4 linked regions of the Caenorhabditis elegans genome follow. The protein of the gene in region 4 binds, or shares a complex with, the protein of the main gene of each other region. Each region holds a gene or a part of one and is shown on either strand. Other genes may lie near its edges.

Evidence for each region.
Region 1: cif-1 (region 4) and eif-3.L share a complex: the UniProt entries of both Caenorhabditis elegans proteins name them as parts of the eukaryotic translation initiation factor 3 (eIF-3) complex.
Region 2: cif-1 (region 4) and eif-3.C share a complex: the UniProt entries of both Caenorhabditis elegans proteins name them as parts of the eukaryotic translation initiation factor 3 (eIF-3) complex.
Region 3: cif-1 (region 4) and csn-4 share a complex: the UniProt entries of both Caenorhabditis elegans proteins name them as parts of the CSN complex.

What each region holds. Positions count from the first base shown.
Region 1 is NC_003280.10:5,619,415-5,624,490, forward strand, and holds eif-3.L (Eukaryotic translation initiation factor 3 subunit L), read right to left. Parts: upstream 3,068-5,076; coding exon 2,995-3,067; intron 2,384-2,994; coding exon of another isoform or gene 2,378-2,383; coding exon 2,251-2,377; intron 2,202-2,250; coding exon 1,928-2,201; intron 1,885-1,927; coding exon 1,717-1,884; intron 1,674-1,716; coding exon 1,320-1,673; intron 1,235-1,319; coding exon 1,065-1,234; intron 1,016-1,064; coding exon 778-1,015; intron 722-777; coding exon 509-721; downstream 1-508. Other genes in the region: npl-4.2 (Nuclear protein localization protein 4 homolog 2), read left to right, coding at 3,483-3,626, 3,678-4,043, 4,106-4,297, 4,345-5,076. UniProt on the Caenorhabditis elegans protein: Component of the eukaryotic translation initiation factor 3 (eIF-3) complex, which is involved in protein synthesis of a specialized repertoire of mRNAs and, together with other initiation factors, stimulates binding of mRNA and methionyl-tRNAi to the 40S ribosome.
Region 2 is NC_003279.8:9,975,926-9,981,412, forward strand, and holds eif-3.C (Eukaryotic translation initiation factor 3 subunit C), read right to left. Parts: upstream 3,738-5,487; 5' UTR 3,736-3,737; coding exon 3,635-3,735; intron 3,587-3,634; coding exon 3,353-3,586; intron 3,272-3,352; coding exon 2,386-3,271; intron 2,340-2,385; coding exon 1,222-2,339; intron 1,171-1,221; coding exon 813-1,170; 3' UTR 501-812; downstream 1-500. Other genes in the region: T23D8.3 (Protein LTV1 homolog), read right to left, coding at 179-361; Beta-catenin homolog sys-1, read right to left, coding at 4,569-4,651, 4,704-5,208, 5,260-5,487. UniProt on the Caenorhabditis elegans protein: Component of the eukaryotic translation initiation factor 3 (eIF-3) complex, which is involved in protein synthesis of a specialized repertoire of mRNAs and, together with other initiation factors, stimulates binding of mRNA and methionyl-tRNAi to the 40S ribosome.
Region 3 is NC_003282.8:1,083,980-1,088,621, reverse strand, and holds the start of csn-4 (COP9 signalosome complex subunit 4), read left to right. Parts: upstream 1-1,608; 5' UTR 1,609-1,614; coding exon 1,615-1,694; intron 1,695-2,312; coding exon 2,313-2,398; intron 2,399-3,853; coding exon 3,854-4,014; intron 4,015-4,642. Other genes in the region: cct-8 (T-complex protein 1 subunit theta), read left to right, coding at 620-810. UniProt on the Caenorhabditis elegans protein: Component of the COP9 signalosome complex (CSN), a complex involved in various cellular and developmental processes.
Region 4 is NC_003282.8:4,706,324-4,712,505, forward strand, and holds cif-1 (COP9/Signalosome and eIF3 complex-shared subunit 1), read right to left. Parts: upstream 4,433-6,182; 5' UTR 4,157-4,432; intron 4,071-4,156; coding exon 3,959-4,070; intron 3,460-3,958; coding exon 2,999-3,459; intron 2,265-2,998; coding exon 1,935-2,264; intron 1,005-1,934; coding exon 819-1,004; intron 767-818; coding exon 683-766; 3' UTR 531-682; downstream 1-530. Other genes in the region: yars-2 (Tyrosine--tRNA ligase), read right to left, coding at 4,585-4,791, 4,842-5,510, 5,560-5,696, 5,745-5,917, 5,969-6,070, 6,118-6,173. UniProt on the Caenorhabditis elegans protein: Component of the eukaryotic translation initiation factor 3 (eIF-3) complex, which is involved in protein synthesis of a specialized repertoire of mRNAs and, together with other initiation factors, stimulates binding of mRNA and methionyl-tRNAi to the 40S ribosome.

The sequences.
Region 1 (5,076 bases), on a different chromosome or scaffold from region 4:
CAATGGAAAAGATTGTTGTTGTCCTCCTGTTCTACTTATCTTCCCTCGAGACTGGAGACGCAGGCATAACTAGTGGGAGAATACACATAAGACTACGTTCTAGGTGAAAACCATGGACCTATAGGTCAAAGTACAGTCTATCACTGTACATACAAGACTACTCGTAAGAGAGATTAATAATTATTCGGAAAAAATTGAGAAGTAGTTGCGATGAGCGTAGAATATAAACAATCATAAATTAACTTCATAAGAAAAACCAAAAAAATTTACTAAACTTATTATGAACCATGGATACAAAATAATTGGGAGATAAGAGAAAAAAAGGAAGTTTAGGACCAAAACGAAAAGACAACAACAGGAGAAAGTGGTATAAATAAACGGAGAGATGTTTTTAATTTTCAACAAGAGATATAATGTTAACAAACGAGTGGGAGTTGGTGTGAAACTAAACGAAATTAACCGGAAATCAACCAGTCATGTTTCGTTTAGCTCAAATACTTTTTAAGGATCATGGTTTCTGGATATCGAGTCGTTTGAGCACATCCTGAACCTCTTGCAACTTCTGAATATGTCGAATGAAATGTTCACCGACGTGACGAGCAACTTTGGTATCGGCAATATTGATCATATCACGGTCTACGTAAAAGTCAATATCTGTTTGTGGCTCATCGTCGTCTGCTGATGATGGTCCGGCTTCTTTGCCAAGCTCATTGACGATCATCTGAAATTCAAAATATTACATCAACACTCGAGATCATCGGAAATTCTTATATATACCTTGTAAGTGAGAAGCTTTCCAATGAACGAATCATAGTGCTCATCATCAACATCCATGAACGACGCAAGCTTCTTAGTTGGAAGTGTTGTGTAAAGTTTCAGGTATCCACGAAGAACTGGTAACGCCATCTGTGATTCAATACCTTCCAGGAAAGATTGAGTTTGACGAAGAAGTGGTTCTTTCGATTGGTTGACTCCCTCATAGACAACTGTGGTTGGAGACAAGAACTTTGGACATCTGCAACAATACAATACTATACAATTACTTGACTAATTTCGTTTCCTACCCAGTAGCAAAAGCATTTCTGAATTCATCGATATTCCCGTTCGCCATGTGCATCATACGCTCACCACATCGCTCCGAAAGCTGAGAAGCAATGCTTTCATCGATTCTTTGTGGCTGGATGGCGAGGCAGATTGCAAGAAGATGGAAAAGCTGATCCCACGTCTTTCCAATCTGAAATCGGCAGAATATTATTGGGTCTTCATTAGATATTCAATTATTGTGCAAATATTGTGCAAAAAATTTAGAAAGTACTCACAACATCATATTGGAAGTTCTTTTTCGATGGCTGCTGATTTTGAACACTCTTTGTTCTTTGAATATAAAGCAGACAATTGACGAACATCTTTGTAGCTTCTCCGTAATTTCTCATCATCAAATGAGAAAATCCAACAAAGTAATGGAGAGTAACAAGGCAAGTTGGAACTGTATTGTAGATTCCTTTTGGATCAATATCCACGTATTGCACGGTTTTCAAAGCCTGATGATAGTCTCCTAGAAGAACGTGAGTGCGGAGAAGTCCGATGAGAGCGAAATATCCAAGCTTGAAGTAGAGATCCGATTGACCGAATTCATCGGCGACCGAATCCGGATTGCGTTTTTCCTGGAACGACTGTAGAGTTGAAAGCAAAAAAATAATATTGAATTAAACAAACCTTCAATGCCTTGAGCTGCTCCACAATTTGGGATTTTGATAGAAGCGAATAGAGAATGTTGAGAACTGGATAGATATTCCACGCGTTCTGATTTTCTTCGATATTGATGAGATCTTCAACTTCATCAGCATTGCGTTTTCCTGGGTTAGCCTTGTAGAGACAGAATGCCTGAATATTTATATTACGTACAAACTCTACCAAAAAATATTACCTGGAATTGATAGACGAATTCGTCGATAATATCCCAAAGCCACACGTTAGGGAGAGACAATGGAATTGGATCCTTGCTTGAGAGAAGCTCAGAGAATAACTCTTGATAGTTCATGAACGACTCATAGCGATGGACAAGGAGTGGTCCACGAGTATTTCTTGCATACAGCTGGCGATAATAGAGTTCCTTGTAGAGAATTATGAACAACTTGTTGCCAGGTCCAATAATTCTTTCGACAACATTCTCATCGGGCCACATGCGATCACGGAAGAATCTGAAATTAAAAGATAAATAGAAAACAATTTGAGATTATTAAATATTACCTCTCGGTGAGATCTGGAAAAGCTTGATCGTAGAGAGTCAAAATTTCCGGCACATTTTGTTCGTCAACCATGCGGGAAAAGTAGACCAGGTAGTCGGCGACCTCATTTGGAACTCCATCCTCATCGGCTGAAGCTGTTAAAAATTAAGAAATGAGATAAGTTTGTGTTGTTAACAAGCACCTAAATAACTACCATAAATATGTTTATAGAATTACTCTATTGATTGATTATCAATTTTTCTTTTGAAAAGATTTCACAATGCACGATCATTGATCCTCTGATACTCAACTTCTCTCTCGGGCTTTTAAATGATTAACTTCTTATGAACTCTTATGAACACCTTTTCATTTATTATTTCTTTCAAATGAATAAAGCTGTGATTCATTTAATCTGAGATTTGAGGATATTCGACACCGAAAAACACTGAAAATGACAAAAGTAGTCATTTTCATATACAATGAGGGAGTTCTGAGAATTGGCATTGATTCTTCACTGTAACAGTATTTGGAAAATTTGGTTTTTCTGAATTTTATGTATTTTGCTCATGGAATGTTAATCTGCAGTTTTTATGCAAAATTATTTCAGACCAAATTCTCCAAATGTCTGTTTGCCGAATTAAAATAAATCGGTTAATCAAAAAAGGACCGAGTCTTCAGTCTTTTCGAACTGTTTCAAATTTTAACATTTTTCAACTCATTTTACTCTTATTCATCAATTCTGAAAAATAGCATTCTGTGAACTTACAAGAAAAGGTGTTGGTGCGACGACGATCAGAGTGATCTTCAGTGGATAAATCGAATTCCACGCGTCGAGACATTACTGAAAGAAGGTTTTTATATTGATATTATTTAAATGTCAAACTAAATTCGAAAAGGTACGCTAAAATTAAGAGAAAACATTTTTTTAATTGTAAAATTTGATGAAAGGAATTGGAAAATGTGATGGAAAAAAGAAAATTGCAAGCGTTGCATGGGATTTCGCAAGAGTGCCGCACGGTTTTTTGTGTACGCATTTGCTCGTCATTCATGTTGTCTAGGCAGTTTTGATGACATTTTTTATTCTAAAAACAAAATGTTTTATTTCATTTGCTGTTTAATGTTTGAATATGTATGGAAACTAATTTGATACCCTTTCCGCTGCATTATTTTTGCAAAATCTCAAAATTATATATCTTCAATTCACTACCTAGAAGGCATATCTTCCTGCATTTAAAAATCTATTTTATTTCAGATATGGTAATTGAAGTCCCTCAAACTGAGCGTGTCAACGACGTTGATGTTTTTTTAAGCACGCAAGATGGTCAAATTCAGCGTCCAAAAGGGCCCAACTGTCGGCATCCTGTACGTCAAAAGTGCACTAATTGTTTGCCTGTTGATGTAAGTGATATTTTCTGTTGTTTTCATAGAAACTAATATCAATATTTACAGCCATTCGATGAAGAATATTTGAAAGAAAAAGATATCAAGCATATGAGCTTCCATGCACATGTTCGCAAGCTCCTTGGATCCCAGGGGAAGGGCACGACTCTCAAAAAACCGCTGGAAAACTTTCGATGTTCATTAAAACCCAACTGTGATGCTCACAAGCCGTTCCCGAAAGGAATTTGCACTAAATGCAAACCACAGGTTGTAACATTGAATCGTCAAAAGTTTCGTCATGTTGATAACATTCAAATTGAAAATCAAGAGCTTGTAAATCAGTTTTTGGATTATTGGAGACTATCGGGCCATCAGCGTGTTGGATTTTTAATTGGACAGTATCAGCCTCACCTTGAAGTTCCACTAGGAATCAAGGTAAGTTCAGTACTTCATCACTCATTTCTTGAGACGAGTTATTTCATTGCTCATACTTTCAGGCTACAGTGGCTGCAATTTATGAACCTCCACAACACTGCCGTGAAGATGGAATTGAGTTTTTGGAGGATAAAAATCAAAAAACTATTGACAATTTGCTGGAAATGCTTGGCTTGCAACGTGTTGGATGGATCTTCACAGATTGTTGGACAGCTAATAGTGCTGAAGGAACTGTACATTATACACGGCACAAGGTGAGAACAATCTCGAAGAGAAGCCCAAAAAACGAATAATTTTTCAGGATTCCTTCTTCCTATCAGCTGAGGAATGCATCACCGCAGCAATGCTTCAAAATCAACATCCAAACATCACAGAGTACTCGATGGATCGTCACTATGGATCCAAATTTGTGACCGTTGTTGCATCTGGTGATGAATCGATGCATGTTAATTTCCACGGATATCAAGTTTCAAATCAATGTGCGGCCATGGTTGAAGCTGATATTCTCTGTCCAACACTGTACACTCCTGAATTGGCTTATGTTCGAGAGACACCATTATCCGAAGAACATTATATAACTGATGTTCAATTTTCGATGAAAAATGAATACGGAGCCGAGGTTATGAAAAACGGACGACCACTTCCAGTTGAATATTTGCTGGTGGATGTTCCTGCTGGAATGCCAAAAGAGCCTCACTACACGTTCCACGTTGGCACATCTAATAAATCGAAGAGTGCCAAATTTAATGTTGAAAATCGACAAGCAATTGGACAACTTCAAGGAGGTGCAAATTTGATTCAATATTCATCCGAATTCTCTACAAATCAATTTTTGGAACAGGCTACAAACTTCCACTTTTTGCTCTATTTAGTAACCAATGACCAAGTGCAGATTTCTGATGAATGGATGAAACGATTGTGTGATGCAGTTAAAGCTCAGGACAGAGGAACTGCAATGGAATGGGCTCAGGAATGTGAAGATTGGCATCAGTTGATGGCTTTAGCGCATGCTAATGGAGGAAGCGGCAATGAC
Region 2 (5,487 bases), on a different chromosome or scaffold from region 4:
GTAAAAAATGCTGATTAAAAAAACATAGAAATTTTTTACTTAAAAGAAGTACAAAGACCAAAATTTTAAGCTATTTTTTGACATATCCTAAAATCTTTTGATTTCATTGAAAAATCGAAAAACAAACACTTTTTTTTAAGTTTCGGTATTTGATCAAATTGATTTTAAGATGACAAACCTCATTAACAGCTCGCATGTGCTGCAAATAATCATAATCATCGTCGTAGTAGACTCCATACTTTTGCTGTTCCTCCAAATGTTCTTGAGTTGGCTTGAATCGTTCACTTCTTTCCCTATTATCCGGAACCAATCGAAAACTTTGACTGGCTTTCTTATCAATGAATGCCTTCCTTTTACCCATTTTGAGGCGAAATTTATGTTTCCAGTAACCTGAAATATGAATTCTATGTTAATTTTTTGTTACTTTTATTGTTGGATCTGAGAAAATAACTGATTGGACAGAACCGGGGCTCATAAAAAATTACTTAAAATTGGACGAATCAAATTAAATATTTCATTAAAATAATATCCGGCAACCCAATATAAATAATTAGCAAAAACAAAACAGTATGGAAAGAGTATAACTTAAACACTACTAACCGGAAACGAAAAATGAGAGCTTTAAAGTTCAGATCTCACACTGAACAAGGAAAAGTGGGAAAGGGTGGGGGATTACCAAAAAAACTGATCAATTAAATAAAAGATTCAACAAGTATTGGCGCCTGCAAAAAGTTTTTGAGACTAATTGCAGGCGCCATGAAAGGCGTATTAGCGGGTTCCACGAATGGGAGAGACGATTGAAAAATGGATATTTAGAAGGCTCGTGGCTTTTGAGGATGACGACGTTGCTGACCACCTTGAGATCCCCAATTTCCTCGCTTTCCGTCTTGTCCTTGTCCTCCACGTCGTTCTCCTTGGTATCCACCAGATCCTTTCTGCTTATCTCCTTGCCGCTCGTTCCTTCCTGGAAACCACGATCCTGGACCTTGATAACCACCACGTCCAGTGCGCGGCTCCAGAATTTGTTCATTGTTTTCGGCAAGAGTTTGAAGTTTGTCAGACAAGTTGAGAGCAAGCATTTGAAGTCTGGAAGGTTCAACACGGTGCATGATGAGACAGTCGGTGGGCTCGTCAAGTGTAGCCGAAAGTTCCTCTTGGATGATCATTTTACTGAAAAAATAAAAAAAAATTATGTACTGTCTAGTAAAATATTACAAATACCTGATGATGCTATGAACATCTTTCTTTGAAAGTTCGAACAAATCCGCAAGCTTCTTGAGCGAAACAGTGGCATAAACTGTAGAGTATGTGAGCAAATAAGTTCTGAGAGATTCCTCTTGAATACGTCTCACAACCATTCCCTTAACAGTCTCAGCGTTATGGAAAAGATTCCAGACCTTCTGGTTCATCTTGTCATTGACGATATAGTCTTGACACTTTTTCCAATCTCCATTCAACATTGCTTTCGATGCGGCGACAACATGTTCACGGGTATTCTCTGGTGGTCCAGTGAGAGAAGCTTTCTCGCTTTGCTTCAATTGGTAATGGAAACTTCTGCTGAGCATACGACGACGCATTTCGAATTCGCAACTAGCCATGTGTGGAATTTCGAGAAGCATCGAACAGATCAGATAGACACACTCCATAAGTTCAACATTGATGTGCATATGATATGGAACTTGACGGGAACGATCAATCTTCTCTTGTTCAGCAGTCTTTTCGTGCTGACGAGTTCCAACAGCTTGAGCAAGCAACTCCTTGGCACGTTGGGTATTTTGAATTTCAGATAGTCCTTGATGAGCTTCGCGAATGAAACCGTGTCGGAAAGCGCAGAGACCGAGTTGGCAGATAGTTCTGTTGTAGAGGATTTGAGTGTCGACATCAGAATGATCAACGATAGCTTGCATGTGACTCATAAGAAGAAGATCTCTGGCGCGGTGCCACTTGTCATGAACAGCCAGATAGTAAACATGGCAGAGCATAGCACGTTGTCTCAATCGTTTCTCATCATCAAGTGTATAGATCTTATTACACAAGTAATCCATCAACTTTCCAGCATCCTCCTCATTTTGATCTTGATATTTGTAGTAGGCATGCTCGATGCGCATCATGTACACTTTGCAAACTTCGTGTTTATCGAAAATGCCAGAATCGTTACGAAGTTCAACGTACTTCTCGGCCTTTTCAATGAGTGAGCACATATCCTTCTCGGCCTTCAACTTCTCGATATAATCATTGGAATGACAATCGGCGTTTTGAAGAATTTTAGCCAACTCTCCGTCCAATCTTTGCACAGCAATCAGAATACTTCCTTGAATGCGATACTCTTGAGTGTCATCCTGCAAATATTAGGATTTTTATTAATTTTAGGAATGCAAGTATTACCTTCAGATTTTCATCTTCTTCAGCATATGTCACAGATAACTTTACACGATCAGTTCCGATGAGAAGATCGAGCAAGCTGTTGACGGTTTGCAGAGTGGTCATGAATGTTTCGTACTCCATGTGATCACTAATTTTAGCGTTCAATTCGAAAAGAGCCGAGATTATGCAGAAACTGATTTTAACGTTGATTCCTAGACCAAGTTCTTTCTCTTCCGATACCTCCAAAAGTTTTCGAAGATTAGCAACATGTTGATTACGATCTGTCGTTCGTTTTCCACGAGCCGACATAACCTCATTGAGTTTCTTAATCATAACGTCATGAGTAACTTCTTCCTTGGGATCAAAGTGAACAACAGACTTCTCACGATTAACTGGAGTCCAATCCGCATCATCGTCTTCCTCGACAGCTTCTTTGACTCTGATAACTCTCTTCTTCTTTTCTTTCTTGTCATCTTTGCTCTCCACGCGGAATTCTTTTTTCAAGAAATACCTACGAAGTTGCTCCATCTTAGTCACACTGTCTTCGTCATCAGAAGAATTGGATTCTGGTTCAGAAGACCAGTTAGAGGAGTCGTCATCGTCGCTGTCACTGTCACTATCGCTCACTGCAGCTTTCTCAGATGGTTTTCCAGGTGACTTTTCAGCCTTCGATTCAGAAACCTCTCCAAAATCATCGTCGTCTTCATCTTCTGGAGTTTCATATCCATCCTCGTCAGGATTAACGCGATAATCGGTAACAAGATCTTGCAGTTGTTGATCCTTGATGTATTTTTTCAGTTTTTGACGAAGAGGTGGAAGAGCTTTTGCGTTGTTCTTCGAAAGAGCAGATTTAGCATCTTTATCATCCCATAATTTATTTACGTAGTCTTCGATTTCCACAAGAGACCTGAAATATTTTATATCAACTACTAAGTTTTCATTAGCATTTTATTTTATGATGTGACTGTAAATTAAAAATATATCTCACCTTATGTAAAATCTTGGATTTGCGACATTCTGACGTTGAAAGACCGTCTTGGACTTATCATAAGCTTTGGCCAGAGAATCAAAACCTGTTAGAAGTCTGTTCAGATCTTTGTTGCTCTTTGCATCTCGATTTTGCTTGATAATTCCTTTCAGCTCATCGAATTTTTTGTCCTTTTGGGCACGAACAACACGCTTCTCATCTTCTTCAGGACCGGCCATGAAATCGAGATCATCGCTGAAAGATTAATCAATCTTTTGGAATTACTTTGGAGATTATAATTACCGAAATTTCGCGCTTTTGTTCACTTTTTGATCCTCTACCTCATCCTCGCTGGACGAAGTGTCGGAATCAGAGTCCTCCTTAGCATGGAAGAAGCGAGACATTGCTGAAACAAAATTGACATTATGAAATCCCAAAACAAGAAGCAAACAAGCAGTAGATACACAATTAGACAGAAATTCCAATATTATTTAAAATTTAAAATGAATAAAACGATTTTCCCTTTGAAAACAATTCAAAAAACAGCTAATGGGTCAATATTTAGCTGAAATAAATTTAAGTGGAAGTGGAACATAAGAAAATCGTTGCAAGACCTTACTGGCGCGTTTCGCGTGCACGGGAGATGCGTCAGCACTCGCCACTTGCGCCAGTGGGCATTTGCGCGGAGATTTAAATAATAATTTATTATTTAATCACAATTCCACAATTTCAGGTTAATTTTACAGAACGAGAATAGTCTCTAAATAACTTATATATGAACCGAGTATTCAGTAAATCAATCCAACATTTAAAAAGTTTTATAATTTTATTTTCTATTCAACGTAAGAACATCGAAGAAAGACGTATATAAGACAGGAATTTGATAGTTAAAATGCAAAGATAATCGCGAAAATGTTTTGTATTCAAAAATATTATGCTACAGACGTAAACAAAGAAACAACAAAAAGAAAGAGATAAACCGAGGGCAAAATGAGAAGAAATGTGCTATAAATTAGGAAAATCGGAACGTTTTGTTTGTTCTAAACTCGAATTCATATGAAATCGTCAAGAATGAGGAAATTTGGGACCGGTAGAAAATGAAGAAAAGAAGAGAGAACATATTTTAATCAATAATACGACTATGTACACGCTAAAACAGCTTCCAACTAGACGAATTAATGGCTTTGAACGGGGATTTTTGGGATGAAAGATGGAGTTGACAGATTTATCCATTAAATCAGAAATATTCTCGATTTGAAAAAATACCAGCAAGAAGGTCGTTTTCAGGGAAGCGACTCAGCAGAGAATTCGCGGCTTTAGCTGAAAAAATGCATTGTAATTTAATTTATGAACACATTTTCGAGACACATACCTATATCTGAATTTCTATGATTCGTCAGTCCTTCCAACATCGGCCTGTCAATCGTCCAAATATCCGCACGCGTCGGGCAGTGCTCCAAAATCTTGTCACATACAACAAGCACATTGTGAATAAACGTTGGTTTCACTTGATTTCCGTTCAGCAGATTTAATGGGCAATCAATTGAATACGAGTACTGTGCCACCTCTTTTTCAGCTCCACATTGCTCCATGAGCACAAGCAATAAACTTATGGTACGTTCAACAAGTTGCTGCTTTGTGGATTGAGTTCTTGTATTGTTCGGTTGACGAAAAACCCATGAATAGGCGGCACAAATGTGTCCTATTAAATTTTCCTTCCGATTTTCATCAATAACATTCAGAACACCGTCTTTTGGAACAAATGGTGTTCGGAGTAACAGTATAAAAGATCGGAGAATTGTACTTCGAAGTTCCAATAAACCAGGTGTATCCATTCCTTCACATGATAAACAACTCATCAGTTTTTTCAGAATATCCTGAAATAATTTAATTCATTTTTATATCGTTTTTCAAATTCCAAAACGTACAATTTCGATGAATTTGCAGACCTGCTGCTTTTCATTCGGTCCAGCCGTTTTCGTTTCTCCATTGGGCGTTGGAATCCACATCATCAGGAAATTGTTCAATGTACGCAGACAATTGCAAATAATTTCACAAACTCGATTTCTTTTCGGAGCATCGGTAAGTTCATCTAGTCGTGGATACTTTGAGATTATCGTGTGAAGTAGGAAAATTGCATTGGATCGTATAGCAAT
Region 3 (4,642 bases), 3.6 Mb from region 4:
CATTTTTGACTGAAAATGTGACCGGAAACATCAATTTTCTTTTGTTTTGCTTCACTTTTTTAAAGTTTTCTTCAGTTTTTGCATTAAAATAACTGATTTTTCACAGCTGGAAACCCTCACAAAACCCGGAATTTTCGCTAAAAATAGGCAATTTTCAGTCAAAAGTCAACTGAAATTCTTCCAAAAAACGTCAAAATTTCCAAAAAAAATCCCCCAATTCCAGACAACACATTCAATTTTTGCTAAAAATTCCAAAAAAAAATATCAGCAAACTGACAGAAAATTTTCAAGTTTTAATCAAAATTGGCCAATTTTCCTTTTGAAAAACCTCAACTTTTCGGTTCAAGCTCAGAAAATTAGCTGAAAATCCGAAATTTTCAACTGAAATTTCTTTAAATCAACTCAAAAATGCAAAAAATTGAATGAAAAAATCGAAAACTCAGCCAAAAATCGGCCATTTTCAACTCTGAAAAATGCCAAATTTTCAGGTAAAAATTCCTCAAAACCCCCCGAAATTTTGGCTAAAAATGTCAATTTCCAGCGCATAAAACTTGTAAATTTTCAATCAAAATTCTGAAAAATCCCGAATTTTAAACTAAAATTCCTTCTTTTTTTTCAGAAACAATGGACGCCGTCGTCAACAACATTTTCGACCTCTACGCTGGAAAACGACTGGCAATTAAGCTCGCCACAGACGCCGCCAGCACAATTCTCAAAGTTGATCAGATTATTATGTCAAAGCAGGCGACTGGAGGACCAAAACCACGTGGACCAAAGGCTCAAGATGAGGATGACGATGGAATGGCCTAATTTTTTTGTGTGCATTTTTGCTGAAAAATTGGGGAAATTTGAGTGAAAATGAGCTGAAAATCGATTTTTCAGCGAAATTTTAGACAATTTTCCCCCACTTTTTCAGATTTTCCCCTCGAATTTCCCCGCCGTTTCCCTGGGAATTGAGCTGAAATTGCAATTATCTTGAAAATTCGCTTAACAGTTTTTAGCTCATTTTCCACCATTTTTCCCCGTATTTTTTAAATTTTCCCGCTCTATATGCCTTCTCCGTATGATTTTTTGCAATTTCCCCGTTTTTATTGATTTTCGCTGGAAAATGAGCTGAAAATTCGATTTTTGCTTAAAAATTAATTTTTTTTTTTTAACGCGAAAATTCAGTTCCAAATTTACTCGATTTTGGTCAAATTTAGCTAAAAATTTGCATTTTTCAGCCAAAATTTTCCAGTTTTTGCCAGAAAATGGGCTTAAAATTGTCATTTTCTTCTGAAAAATCGAACTTTTGCCCCATTTTCAGCCGAATTTCAGCCTTTTTCCTCCAATTCTCCATAATTTTTAATGCTATCCCCCAACCCGTTCTGAATCTGAAAATCACAGTTTATGATCTTAAAATTGCGCCTTAAATTCTATAATTTTCAGCTTTTCCCCCTCGAAATTTTGTTTTTTTTTCTCGTTTTTTGCTTCACGTTGTGTTTGTTATAAAATTCTCCAAAAAAATCACAAAAAATTAGAAATTTTAAAGAAAAAATAGTCGAATTTCCTATATTTTTATCTGAAAATTCCCCCCAAAATTTTGTTGTAAAATTTCCACAATTTCAGCTGAAAATGAGCGGCGAAATTGAACGTTCACAGGAGGTGGCGGTCATTTTTGCACAGGATACCGATCACAAGGCTCAATATGAAGCGTAATATTTTTGGATTTTTGAGAAAATTTGGAGCTAAAAATGTGAAAATCTGGAAATTTTTAGCAAAAAATCCCAAATTTTTGTATTTTTCATTGGAAAATCTGAATTTTGTAAATTTTCAGCTGAAAAAATATGAAAAAAAAAAAACGATTTTAGCTATGTAGAAATTTTGAAAAAAAAACGAATTTTCACGCAAAAACATTTCCTAATTTAAAAAATTAGTAAAATTCGCGAAAAATTGAAATTTTTATCTTTTTTTTCCAGAAAATCTGAAATTTTCAAATTTTTATACTTAAAATCTGAAAAATTCTATTTAAAAACTCAAGTTTTCATTTATTTTCTACGAATTTTGAAATGAAAAATTCTTACAAATCCCGCACTTTTTTCGTTCAAAAATTGGAAAAAAACTAATTATTAGCTAAAAAATTTCCAATTTTTGTATCAAAAAACTCGAAAATTCTCAAATTAAAAAAATTTTTTAATTTTTTTGCTGAAAATCACGCTAAAAATTTCAGCTTTTTCACGTAAAATGTGATTTTCTGAAATTTCATGTAATTTTTTAGCTAAAAAGCCGAAATTTTCTCGATTTTCAGACAAAAAATTCCCCGATTTTTGCAGATTGGCGAAGCTTTGCAACAAATATTTGCCACAAAATGCGATGGGACGAGTCGATACGGCGGAAATTATTAAAATCATTGATACAGGTTGGAACACGACGAAAATTTCGGATTTTTCAGTGGGAATCTGGCTAAAAATTACGAAAAATGATGAGTTTTGGTGAAAAAATGGACGAAAATCGCTCAAAATTGGACAATTTGGTTGGAATCTGGCTGAAAATCGATAAATCTCGATAAAAATTGACGGAAAACGAGAACATTTTCGGAATTCCTGTTGAAATTTAGCTGGAAATAAATAAATTACATTGAAAAAAATTTTTTTTTGAATTTTTGGAGCTGAAAATTGGCAGAAAATCCGATTTTTTCAGGAAAAATCTTTAAAAATTTACATTTTTTTTTACAAAATGGACTCAAAATTAGCTTAAATCGCTCAAAAAAGGCTGAAAATTCCATATTTTAAGTGAAATATTTTAAGTGAAAAATATGGAATTTTCAGCCTTTTTCGAGCGATTTAAGCTAATTTTGAGTCCATTTTGTAAAAAAAAATGTAAATTTTTAAAGATTTTTCCTGAAAAAATCGGATTTTCTGCCAATATTCAGCTCCAAATCCAAAAAAAAAAATTTTTCAATGTAATTTATGAATTTTCACAAAAATCCAATTTTTCGTTCGTTTTCTGCAGTTTTGTTTTTTTTTTTTGAAAAGTTAAAAATTTCCTTTAAAAAACGCGAAATTTCCAATTTTTCACGGTAAATGTGATTTTCAGCCAGTAGTTTTCAACCGTTTTTTCGCGGGAAAAATTGAATTTCTAAAGATTTTCCTCGAACAATTCGATTTTTCCGGTATAAAAAGCGACCTTTTACCGATTTTTCACAGAAAATTCAGATTTTGAGCCTTTTTCACCCTCAGAAGCCAAAAAAAACCCCCAAAAATTGGATTTTTCTTGAAAAATTTGAATTAAGAAACTCAAATTTTCAAACCGTTTTTCCACGGAAAAAGTGCGTTTTTCAACGATTTTTCTCGAAAATTCTCAATGTTCTGCGTTTTTAAGCGATTTTCAGCTGATTTTTCACGAAAAAATCGAGTTTTCAGGGATTTTGATATATTTTTCTTGAAAAAATCGGATTTTCAGCTGTTTTTTCCACGGAAAAAGTGATTATTTAACTTTTTTTCCAGAATAATTGGATTTTCAGCCAATTTTAGGCTTAAAATAGGGCCTTTTAACGAAAAATGTGACTTTTAGGACATTTTTCAATTTTTCGCATAAAATTAAATAAAAATGGAATTTTTTTACCATTTTTTTTTCAAATTTTCAGGTTCAAAATAAAGCTTTAAAAAAGTGGAAATTTCTAGTTTTTAGGCTTAAAATAGGCTTCTTAGACGAAGATTTTCAAGCTTTTCGTTAAAAAAAACAGGAAAAAATTAATATTTGTATAAAAAAATTGAATTATCAGCTAAAAATTACAATTTTTGCACTGTTTCAGTGCAAAATTTGTATTTCTTTTAGAATTTTTAGCAGCCTATAACCCCAAAAATGTTTGCAGTAATCGCATTGGAGACTGGAAGTATGGTTGTATCACGTCAATTTGTATCACTTATCACTGAAAGATTGGATAATCAACATTTGGAATCAGAATGTGTTAAGGCTATTTCAGAAGGAATTTTGGCGATTATTAAGACTCGAACCATCTCTTATGAGGATCAGGTACTTGGAAATGCACTGCAACTTTTTCCTCACGAGGGACGAGGAACAGTGGTTTCTAGGCCATGGCCGAGGGGCCGACAAGTTTCAGCGGCCATTTATCTTGCTTTGTTTTCCGCCTGTTTTCTTTCGTTTTTCACAGCTTTTTCCCGTTTTTTCTTATTAAAACTGATAAATAAATATTTTTTGCAGATGATAAAACAATTTCGAAGTAAAAAAATTATGTATTCAGTGGGCAAGCAGCGGTGAAAGTGGGCATTGTAATATGATGGATTACGGGAATACAAAACCTAAATTTTTTCTGAAACATGATACATATGATGCTTAGATGCTGAAGCTACCTGATTTTCATATCAAGACCGCTGAAAAAGTTTTGAGGTTTCCAAAATTCAACTTTTTGTGCGAAAATCTCGACTTTTTCACCAAAAAAGTTGAATTGTGGAAATCTCAAAACTTTTTCAGCGGTCTCGTTATGAAAATCAGGTAATTTCAGCATCTAAGCATCATATGTATCATGTTTCAGAAAAAGGTTAGGTTTTGTATTCCCGTAATCCATCATATTGCATTGACCACTTTCACCGCTGCTTGCCCACTGAATACATAATTTTTTTACTTGGAAATTGTTTTAGCA
Region 4 (6,182 bases):
GTAGATCATTTTTTTCGCATATTTTGGTACAATTACAGTCTATAGGCGCACGAATTTCCAATTTTTGTGCACCTATCGACTGAAAATGTACCAAAATCTGGAAAAAAAATGCGGCAGTAACTTCTAAAATGTGCAAAATAGAGAAGGCATGGTTTTTTTTTAAATATGACTCGAATTTTTTAAATTTAATTTCAAAAAGAATTTGAGAAAAAGGAAAATTAACTAAAATTCCCGTTTTCATTAGCAGAATTTTTGGACTTTTCTTCAAAAAAAGGCTAGTTTCTCCGAACTCTGAAAATTAAGAACAAAGATTGGCTTCGTCCGTCAAGTGACAAACATCTGATTATCATCGAAGCGGAAGAGACTAATCTCTTGTCCCTCCGGCTCCACGAGCATCAGTGTAAAGTGAGACGCCCGTGTGCTTATCGCATAACAAAAAAACAAGATAAAGCGACGGATAAATAGAAATAATCGGGTTTCGAAGTGAACAAAATCCATATTAAGTCAGAAGAGTGGGGAACATTTTCTTTTTTTAAATCAACAGTTTATGGGGAAATTTTTCAAGAGAGAGATAGAAATTATAGAGGAGGGAACCAACAAAACGGGGGACTTTCATGGGAAGAAAATACGATAGGGAGAACCAAAAACAAATATATTAAAAAGAACAGCGAAAAAAAAACAATTAGAGAGCCTCGATTCTCTGATTCACTTCATGGACGTTGTTGTGCGTTTGCTTCAGATTTGCGATGAGGACTTTCAGGCGTTTCTGGAAAAAAATCAATTTTTAAATGGAAACCCAACGAGTAAATATTATATACCTCGAGTAGAACCCATTGTTCCGTTCCGAATCTTCTGTGCTGGTAGGAGCTGACGATGAGAGTTCGGGCCATTTCATTGATTTTTCCGGAAATCGCGTTCACCTGAATCGCGTCGATCACAAATTCTTCGAGGGTCTCATCGGCAAGAATGTCCAATTGTTTGGCCAATTCGTCGAGACTGATTTCCTGAAAAATTCAGCAATTTTTATTTAATTCGGACGTTTCAAATGTTATATAGCCAACCGACGTTTCCATATGGGTCTCGCCACGCAAACAACGAGTTACTGTATCGTAACTTCACATTTTTGCAATATGGGTCTCGGCGCGCTAAAAATCCAATTTTTCAACGAAAATTCAACATTTTCGCATTCAAAGGTGTTCAAATAATTTTGAGCTTTCTCTAACTGAAAAATTGTTAAAATTCGAGATTTCGCTCTTTACAGAAATGGAATATTCAACATTTTCCACAAAATTATAGGTTTTTCGGGAGATTTCCTAGAGACGAGTTATTGTAATTTTAAGAGATTATGACAGGTTTTTAACCTAAAAATCCTCATTTTTGGCCGGGTTTTCATTCGGAAAAAGTCGTTTTTTAGTCTTAGAATCTGCAAATTTGCAGTAAAAAAGTGTGAAATTTTGGTTTTTTGTATTTTTACACTAAAATTTTTACGAAAATTGCATGTTTTTAACCTGGAAATCCACATTAATGGATGTTTCTCATCCGAAAAGTTTGCAATTTATAATTTTTAGCTTTACATTTCAGGTTTTCAGCTTAGAAGTGCTCTTGAATTTTGATTGGAAGGTAAATGAAAAATTTCTGCGAAAATAAAAAAAAAACATATAAGCAGTTCGTAATTCGAGCTACAGTAACTCGTTGTGAGCGTGGCGAGACCCATTTTCTCCTCTTTAATCGTCTATGTAATATCATTCGCCAAAGCCGTTATTTAGTCTTAAAATCTGTAATTTTGCAGTCGAAAAACGATAAAAATGTGTTATTTTGACACTAAAACTTTTCCCTTGAATCATAAATTTCAATAAAATTGCTGCCAAGATTTTCGAAACGAGTTACAGTAACTCGTTGTGAGCGTGGCGAGACCCAGTAATATCCAAACGTACGTTCTTCTCTTCAGCAAGCGACATGAGTGTCAAAAGACGGATCTTCTTGAGAAGAATAGTCTCGTCAACCTTCAAGTGCTCGGTGACAAATTTCGGATTCTTGGCAACAAATTCCTTATAATCCTTGAGAGTTCCAGAGATGAACAACTCGAGAGCTGTGAACATCAGTGGATCGGAAGTCTTCAACGCTTTGACTGCACTGAGTCGTTCGAGATGATCAAAGGAGAATGATTTCGGATCGACGACAGCAGTTCTAACACATTCCATAGCATCATCTCGTGCTGCGGCAGCGTCCTTTTCTGTGTATGTTCCGAGAAGTGCAGTCATAACCTGGAAACACTTTTTTAAAGGTTATGAGGACTTATGATTTTGGCGTTTTAGCTTGTATTGACTCAAAAAAAAATTTCGTGATTTGAAAAATTTCTCAAATTTCTACGGCGATTTAAATCTCTCTCGAAAAATTTCGCTAATTTCAGCTAAAATCTCTGATTTGCCAACTTCTCGTGTCCCAACGGTCAGAAATAAACTTATTTCGGTGGTTTTCGGTAATTTTTTGTTAAATTATGGAAACTTCAAATTATGAAGAAAAGGTTCAATTTTGGTCCAATCTTTGTTGTTTTAGACAAAAGTCGGTCCACTTTTTGGCCAACTTTACAGGCCATTTTCAGTAGAAATTTTGTCATTTTTGGTTTACTTTTCGCGCTTTTCGTTCAATTTAGTCATTTTAGCTCAATTTTTAGTGGAATTTGGCCATTTTGGTTCAATTTTGATCGAATTTTGTTCATTCTTTGGCGAAATTTTGGCATTTTTGTCCACTTTTGGGGTTTTTGGCCAAATTTTGAACATTTTGGTGACATCACCCTCAAATGTACCGCAAACAACAAAACAGTGTGAGATAAGAGACCAAGATTCAATAAAAACTGTGTTCAAGCCGCGAGACGGGACAGTTTGCAAAATTGAAGACTTTAGCAGAAATTAAGCAATATTTAACCGCCATAATTTTTTTAAAGGCAGTTTTTGTGTCTAGCTAAGTATAAAAACCGATAGTTCTTTATCAAACCCACCTTGGCAGCCTGATCAACTCTCTGATCAACAAGAAGTGCACGATGAACTGCTCTCAAGATCTCGCGTTGTCCCTCGACTGGCGTCTTCCATGTGTTGAATCTATCTTGAAGAGTCTCAAGATTGCATTCCAGCTCTCCAATGAGTCTTGCTTCAGCGCACATATCAACGAGCGCCTTGAAGATCTTCTCCTGTACAGTATGGAAGTTCGAGTATCCCTTGTACAAATTCGAGAGCACACGAACGGCGATTCCGGCGTGACTAGCCCATCCGGTTCCCTTGTAGAATTGTGGAGCAACATTCTTGATGAATGAGTCGACGACTGGCTCACACTTCTCGCCTGGCACAACGACGATAAGAGATGATATCGAGTTGAGCACCAGATCGACGTCCTGGGACCATGAAGGAAGCACGTTGAGAGTGGAGCAGATTTCGATCATGTTTTGGGCGGTCTCTGATGGTCCTGAAATTTTTTAAATCCAAATTCTGAAGCAGGGCTGTACCGCAAATCTTTTCTGAAAGTTTACGTATTTCCATGGGAGAAATTCTACAAAATGATCTATTGCATCATGTTGTTCTAACATTTTTCATTAAAAATAATGTGAAAACATAGAAAATCACTTTGTTTATCTGAAAATATCGTTGATTTTAGTTGAGAAATGGCAATTTGTAAGCAATTTTCAAATGCTTAAACTAAAATAAATACTATTTAAGGCCAAATCAATTGATTTTATATATTTTTAGAACAATTTAAATTTTAAAAAAAGTGGGAACAACATGGTGCGATAGGAAAATTTTGTAGAATTGCCGTTTCCACATGATATATTCAATTTTTTGAGAAAGAAATTGATACAGAAATGTTGAAAAAGAGTCGATCGACCTGAAAATGATAAAGATCCAAAAAGATTGGATTAATCCATAATTATTATATCGAAAAAATCAGCTTTACAAGTTTTCCGCACCATTTGGATCAAGCTTCACACTATCGTGCTTGTTGAGGTATTGACGGAGCTCTTGGAGCTGCTTGACATCATCAATGTAGGCGAAAACTGGAAGCTCACGAGTGTCAGCCATCTGAAATATTGTACATGCAGTTTAGAAAATATGGAACTGTGAACGAGCAAAAAGGAGAAATGCACATCAAACTTCAACTCATTCACCTTTATTTCGCGGCGCTATCAACCGTTGCGATCTTCTCAATGTGTCCTTTCCGAATCGCTTCCAGCTGTCTCTGGCTTCTTCTCAAATGATGCTCAATGAGCAACAGGTCACTTGGCTCGAAACGTGTTGCAGCGGCGCGGAACTCGTGCCGAATATGCGTGCGAATGCTCGGGTCACGGCCACGGGAGGCGCGCAAAAAATCACGGTAGGTGGAGAGAACGAGCTTTTGAAGTTTGCTGTGCACTACTCCTCCGCTCATGCGAATAGAGACGAGCCGAAAATTATTCAGGAATAAAATACAAAAAATATGCTTGGAAACGAGAAAAAGAGATATAATAAAGCGTAGAGAACGCCGAGAATATGACACCACAAATACAACAAAAAAATGAATATTTATTTTCATTATAACAACTAAAACTGAACCTATTCAAACCCATCGAACCAGCTGGTAACCTCGTTTTCCCCAACAAACAAGGGTGAGATCGGAGGCATTTTCCAGGAAAACGTCTGCTATTGATTCCGATGGAGATCTTTTCTTCTCTCCATTCACTGAAAATGCTCCTTGTTGCATCAAAAGATGACCTTTCCCACTGCCTAGTCGAGATGCGTCCGCGAGTTGGCCCATTGTTGCTACCTGGGAAGAAAAAGAATAAAATCTTCGACAACTAATTTTTTGATGCTTACATTCTCCTTTTTCAAGTCAATTGTTGTTCTGAATAATTGCAATACTTCACTTCTCGACAATCCCGATAAATCAGCCTTCTTGGCTCCAAACATTGCTTTTGTACACCGCATCGCCACTTCTAAACCTTCTTTTCCGTGCACAATTCGAGTAATTTCGGCGGCCAACTCCCTCTGAGCAATCCATTGTCCAAGATTGCTCCTATGATTCTTCAGAACATCTCTTATATGTTCGATATCTTGCAAACTGAAAAGTAACAGAAGCTCTTCCGCTTTGTCATCGTGAAGCTGCGCGAAGAACTGATAGAAATGGAACGGAGACGTCTTCGTCGCATCAAGCCACAGCGCACCTCCTCCTTCAGACTTTCCGAGCTTGGCACCAGTAGAATCCGTCAGAATCGGGAAGCATACTCCTGCAGCGAAGGCTTGATTCATCATTTTCTTAATATAGTGAGCTCCAAAGTCCAGGTGACCCAATTGATCATATCCACCAAGCTGGAATCGACATCCATACTTTTCGGATAACGTGTACCAGTCGAATGCTTGCATTGTTTGATAGCTGAATTCAGTGTACGATAATCCAACTTCCAGCCGATTCTTTATCGTATTCATTCGAAGCATCTTTCCGACTTGCATATTCTTGCATTCTCTCAGGAAATCTCGTAGACTAATCTGAAAAATATAACATTTTCTTTCTCATCATAGCAAGCCGAATGACTACCTTTCCTAGCCAATCATTATTGTTCACGATGATCGGCTTCTCGCTTGATCCCGGCGCGTTCTCAAAAATCTTGCAGATCTGATCTGTTACTTTCCTCGAGTTGTGCATAATTACATCGCCGGCCAGAAGACCCCGTTCTGAAGGTCATGATTTATTGAGTTTTCAGCGCTTTTCTAGGTAAAAACCTGATTTCTTTCCGCTCGGATCTCCAATACTGGCAGTGAATTCTCCGATCAATGCAATTGGACGTATTCCAAACTGCTGTGCACGAATTAAATTGACGAGAATCAGAAGATTTCCAATGTGAAGGCTCTCAGCAGTTGGATCGAAACCAGCATACACATAAGGTGGAAGCTGCCTGAAATTAAATGGATTATTTGCGGAATTTCGTAACATTCACAAGTTCAACCTCAAATCTTCGCTACATTTAGACAGCAGGTCCGTTGGATACGAGTGTTGCAGCTGTTTTCTCGCGTTTAAGTCGGTGATGTAATCCACGAATGAGCTTTCTCTGAAAAAAAACGAAAAATTAGAATAACCCACTAGCAATTGACTCACCGAGGTGCACGTACCGTTTTTAAGGCCACATTTCCGATTCGTTTGCTGTTGAACATTGTGTACTA